2 linked regions of the Coturnix japonica genome follow. The protein of the gene in region 1 purifies or fractionates together with the protein of each later gene. This does not show direct contact. Links are inferred from orthologs where the notes say so. Each region holds a gene or a part of one and is shown in the gene's direction. Other genes may lie near its edges.

Evidence for each region.
Region 2: the proteins of SERBP1 (region 1) and TSR1 purify together in Homo sapiens (affinity purification with mass spectrometry; 3 studies listed by BioGRID and IntAct, with this or other methods). This does not show direct contact. The link is inferred for Coturnix japonica from reciprocal best matches to the Homo sapiens genes SERBP1 and TSR1.

The regions. Positions count from the first base shown.
Region 1 is NC_029523.1:25,833,285-25,836,784, reverse strand, and holds part of SERBP1 (plasminogen activator inhibitor 1 RNA-binding protein), read left to right. Parts: intron 1-811; coding exon 812-859; intron 860-3,253; coding exon 3,254-3,427; intron 3,428-3,500. UniProt on the Homo sapiens protein: Ribosome-binding protein that promotes ribosome hibernation, a process during which ribosomes are stabilized in an inactive state and preserved from proteasomal degradation.
Region 2 is NC_029534.1:4,412,047-4,414,256, reverse strand, and holds part of TSR1 (pre-rRNA-processing protein TSR1 homolog), read left to right. Parts: intron 1-155; coding exon 156-315; intron 316-649; coding exon 650-813; intron 814-1,071; coding exon 1,072-1,274; intron 1,275-1,340; exon of another isoform or gene 1,341-1,433; intron 1,434-1,572; coding exon 1,573-1,735; intron 1,736-1,851; coding exon 1,852-1,962; intron 1,963-2,210. UniProt on the Homo sapiens protein: Required during maturation of the 40S ribosomal subunit in the nucleolus.

The DNA.
Region 1 (3,500 bases):
GGTCTTTTCCACGTGCTGTACAATGAACTCTTCGTACTGTCTCAGATTCTTGCTGATTTAATATGAAATCCACATGTATTGGCAGCCCTCATCTGATGAGAGTCTTTCCAGAAGGCTTGGTTGTGCCATAAGAGATCCTTTTCCTTCTCTGCAGCTGGCTTAGTAATTGAGTACTTCAAGTCCTACTGAACAAATAACAGGAAGCTGAGTTGTGAAGAAATGTTAAAATTTGTTCCAGTTGTTCAAAACAACTCCTGGAGAGATTCATCCACCAGTGAATGAGCTCCTGCTCAACACATCTGTTGTGCTGTGCCTCTACCCTCATCGCTTCCTTAGAGAAGAGATCACAATGGAAGACTGAGAAGCAAGTATCGGAACACAGTCGGTCATCTTTGCAAAGTGTGTAGCTCAGTTTCTGCGCAGCCTGAATTCCTTTTTTCATTAGGCATAATTAATTGAAGCCACCCTCAACCTGTGCCATCTGTCTGTGCAGGCCTGTGTGCCCACTGTAGTGAGGTGAAGGAGATTGGTCTGCAGGTGGAGTTCTCAGCAGGTCGTTAAACAACTTCTTATTCCCAATCTGAGATTTCTCTTTGCCTTCCAGTATAAATCCATCCTCTGCACCTTCTGGATGCTTGTACAACTTCTCTCATCCTTTTGCTGCTTCGTGTGCTCACTGCCATCTGTATCCAGCAAGTTCATGTGACCTTATTACGTGTTGTTTCTATATGTAGTTGAGTCTCATTTCTTCCTTTTGTTTTCTCCCTTTGTTCCTTTTGTCACTTTGGTGTGGACACGCAACTTTCATCAGACAAAGGCGATGACAGAAATGCAGGGGAGTCTGCTGGAGTCAAATGAGGTACTGATCCTTTCTATCTAACTGGTGATACGTGCTTTTGATCGGAGCCCCTTCTGAAATGAAGGGCTTTCGTATAAGGAAACAGCAAACGTAGAGAATATGGAGCTTTTCTGTCCATGCCTGTTGTCTCACTGCACAGTGTAGGGCTCTCCGTAATTAGTGCCTTTTTTCCTTCTTGATCGTCCCATAAACACTTCCATCGTGAGTCTCTTATTTTCTCTTGCTGTTTTTCCATATCTTCCTATCTGCTTTGGCTAACTTTCCATTAGTGACTTGTTCTTAAAGCTTTGGACAGGCTTTCCCAAGACCCACGAATGCAGCAGTGCCTTCGAGCAGCTATCTGTTAGATCAGGGCACTATCGAGAGTTGCCAGTACATACAAATGAAGTGCTTCCAAAGATGATTCAGAACAGACAGTCTATGTGGTATGTCTTCTACCACCTAAGCTCAAGAGGAGAATGTGCCAAGTCTTCTATTGGTGTTTTAAATTAGCTAGAGTTATTTTGGGTAAAGAAATCCTCAGGTTACACACAGAACTTGCTACTTGCTGGCTTTAGTGGTTAAACCAAGGTTCAGTTGGGGAAAATGCAGTATTTTGGTAGACTGTAGAGTTCCTTTTTTAAGCAGTAGCAGTGCAGGGAAGTAGATGCACAGAACTACTACTTCTGCCTCTCGGAAGAGTCACTTGACTGCCAGTAAGTTGGAAATAACATCTCAGTACCCTGCGGTGTTTGAGACAGTAGGTGAGACACCATCAATAGGAAACGAATCAAAACCATAATGAGGGGCATTGCCTGCTCTTTGAATCACTGGTGGACTTCTGCTTTAATATTCTCATTCTGCCCGTGCTGTCAGGTAGAGACGTGGAATGACTCTTGTCCAAAAAGCATCTGCTGAAACCAGCTTAGGAGTGCAGAGAAGAGATCTGAGGGATGAGAGTGTGGTTCAGATCAGTAGAACCAGGAGTCTCTTAGGGAGCAGCTGCTGCACAGAACACGTCCCAGTGAAATATGTTTGGAGTAAACCAGCGTGGAGCAATACTTCTCACTGTGCCTAATTAAGCTGCAGGTGCTGTGGATGCCATACATCCAGCTGAGCTTGGAAGGGATCATTAGGGTGGGGGGTGGGGGGGGTAGTGCTCTTGGTGGCTCTGTGCATTCCGGTGCTTGTGACTGACTCGAGGCATTCCCAAAAGCAACTTTCTGCCCTTTGACTTCAGCCCTCTGTGTATCCATTGGCTGCTCTGTGAAGGATCCACAACAGGTAATTAAGAGGTGTTGCACTTAATTGCACAGTATGTTGCCTTTGAAAGTCAGAAAGTCAGTATATTGTGTAACTATACCACAAGAAAAGTAACTTACGGTCAGAATGCCTAAGCTTGCATGTGGCACCTACATGTTAGGCAAAAGAGCAAACAGCCAGAAGTTGGGTGTTAGAGAGCTGTGGATTGTCACGTTTCCAAAGTGCGATGGCTGGGCTTTTTAAGAGACAGTACTGGTCTGATCCAGTGTGGTTAATTCTACATTCTGCATGTCATCATAGGAGCCAAAAATGGGCTGCTTGTATAGAAAGTTAATTGTGCTGAGTAGGGGAGACAAAAACACCTGTTGCTTGTTGTGTTCAATGTATAATGACTTGAAATATTTGGCCTGCTCCGCATGGTAGGATGCGGGGTGTTGAGTCTTGAGTGCACCAGCAAGCACTGGGGGGTTGTTTGGTCATGGTGATGCTGGTAGGGGCCCTTCCTCAGTGGAATTTGTGAGGTGGGTTCTCTTTTAGCCTTAATTGTGTTAATTGAATTGTGTTAGTTACCTCAGTTATATTCTGTCTGAACTGTGCTTACGCCTCTTCCACTGTTTGCTATGGCTGAATACCAAGGTGGGGTTCTTTTGGTTTCCAGTGCTTGAAGTGCTTAACACGAAGCGAAGCAAATGAGGACATGTAAAGCACTCATGGAGCAAAATAAAGATGGCTTATTGAGTGCACATTGCACAAGACTTGAATGAATAGAAACTTAAGGTTCCTCAGGTATGAAACGAGAGGAAGCGAAATGCTGGAAAACAGAGTTCTGTATTGGAATGGTTGGGGCCCAGGTAAGCTGAGCCTTGTTAATGTGAAAGAATGCCAGAGCTCCTCTGAATTGTCTTGGACATACAAGATATGTTCCAGCACACTAATGAAGTTAAGGCAGAGAGCGTTTGCTGTCCTCTGCGTGGTGTCAGTGCTCTGCAGAAGTGGTGCAGTTGATGCACAGCGGTTCCTGCTGTATCTCTTACCATGCTCAGGGTGGTGTGTTTGGAGGTGAGCTCAGGTGCCGTGTCACTAAGAGTGCAGCTGCAGATGAAAACCCTTCGGTGGTGATCTGATTACTCAGGTGAAAATTGTTCATTTCAGGCTCATGCTGAGGACTCGGTAATGGATCATCACTTCCGTAAGCCTGCCAATGACATCACATCCCAGCTGGAGATCAACTTTGGAGACCTTGGCCGCCCCGGACGCGGTGGCCGAGGGGGCCGGGGTGGCCGAGGACGTGGAGGCAGGGCCAGCCGTGGGGGCAGGACTGACAAGGTGAGCAGCCAGAGCTCCCGGCTGTGGGGCAGCTGAGCTTGTGGCACCCACACTTTCCCTTCTTGTACACTCT
Region 2 (2,210 bases), on another chromosome or scaffold:
GCAGCATAACTGATGTGACACTGGAGGGAGTTTCTGCTGTTTCTTGGATGTTTTCTGGTAGCAGGGGCTGTGGGAGTTGTTGTCCTTGGCTTTAAAGTGGTTATTAGCTTCAGATGGATAACTTCATAGCTGGGGACTCTGCTTTTGTTCTTCAGGAAGACTCTGCGAATGGTACTGATGAGATGGAGGAAGATGTTAAAATCCTGATGAAGGCAGATACAAGCAAACAGGAATCTTTGCAGTCAGAAGTGGTTCCTGATCCTATGGAAGGGGAGCAGACGTGGCCAACCGAAGAAGAACTGCAAGAAGCAGAGGGTGAATAGCAGCAGTATTTCTCTACCTTTCCCTTGTTGCTCTTACAAGGGTTGTTAGAATCCACCTGTTGGTGGGATAGCTGAAGGGGACTGTGGAGAAACAAGCCAGCTGGGAACCAAACCATTTTATGTGACCTCTGTTCTTGGTTCCCCTCACCTGACTGCAGGGCTGGCTGGTTTGCCTTACAGCAGGGTTACATTTTAGCTGCCTTTTCTAGGCTCTGACAAATTCTATTCTGGGAAATAGTGACTCTGGTCTCTAGAGGTGGGCTTGGTTCTCCTGGTGTAAATGCTGTAAATGTACCTGTATTAACCATTGGTGGGAATTCCCACAGCATCTCAAAAGGAGAACAAAAGGGTGGTGAAGGTCCCCAAGGGTACATCCAAGTACCAGGCTGCATGGATCGTGGATGATGGAGAAGAAGGCAGTGAGGAAGGTGATGATGATGATGATGATGATGATTTTGGTGATGATATGATGGAAGAGGCAGTTTCCCAGGTAACTCTTAAGATCTGATACTGAAAGTCATCTTCTGGATGCCACTGCATATCCTAGTTCAGTCCTGTCCTTGTAGCTCTCCCTATGCAAGAACACAATACTGAGATAAGACTTGCTTGAATTTCCTCTGTTGTTATAGTGTGGGCTGTGTATAGGGGGCTGTGTTATAGCTTGGGCTATAAGTCACACTGTGCAAATACCTACAGGATTTGCAGTACTGCAGAGACATAAGATTCCCTGTGCTCTCCTATGTGGCAGGAGGGAGAAAGCAGTGAGGAGGAAGAAGAGCTTGCAGAAGAGGAATGTGAGACCATGACCATGTCTGAGTGCATGCGGGATGACCAGTACGATGAGAAGATGGAGGAAGATGAACAGATGCTGGAGAAATACAAACAGGAGAGAATGGATGAGATGTTTCCAGATGAGGTGGACACACCACGTGATGTGCCTGCCAGAGTCCGGTAAGAAACCTGCGATGCTGGGAGAGAAGCTAGAAGGGGTTTTTCTCTCTGGTTTGTTGAGGTAGGGCAGGAAGCCAGTGATGTCCTAGCCATGATGTCTGAACCTGGCTGAAGGACTCTTCTGAAGATGAACCTTTAGGCTCTGAGGCTTCCAGGGGGGATAGTAGCTGAGACATTGTGCTGCTCCTTGGGGCAGAAAGAACCTGTCCTGAGCTGGGAGAGAAAAGAGGAAGGCAGAGTCCTAGTGTTAGTCCTTGTGGATTTGTGAATCTGTCTTTTCCTGTTGTCTGTCCTTAAGGTTCCAGAAATACCGAGGGCTCAAGAGCTTCAGGACTTCTCCATGGGACCCCAAAGAGAATCTCCCAAGGGACTATGCAAGGATCTACCAGTTCCAGGACTTCTCCCGAACCAGAAAGCACCTCTTCCGGCAAATAGAGAAAGAGGAGACTGAAGGAGCTTCGGTAACTCCAGTTGATGCTGTTCTTTTGGGTTCCCTCTCTAATCCTGGCCTTGTATCTGTGTCCTGACACTTTTTTTCTACTGCTAGAGGTATTCATATCTGATGTTCTCTTGGCAGGTTGGCTGGTATGTTACATTACATGTCTGCAATGTCCCCGTCTCAGTGATGGAGAGCTTCAAAGAAGGGAAGCCACTAGTCCTGTTCTCACTGCTTCCCCATGAACAGAAGGTGACTAAGTTTGGCTCTGCTGATTCCATGTATGTGTGCAGCTCTTTACCTGATTCCCCTGATGCTGCATGGGTTGGAGAGGATTTGGCTGCTGAAGGTTTGGTCTAAGATTGCTTGCGTTTAGAAACAGGATCTTCCTTTGATCAGAGCAGCCTGAAGCTTACAGAGGTGTTCAGACTAGAGTGTCTGAGCCTGGCTGGTTTGCACTGATGACCAGCAGTCATCTGGGAAGCCACAGTGAAGGGAAT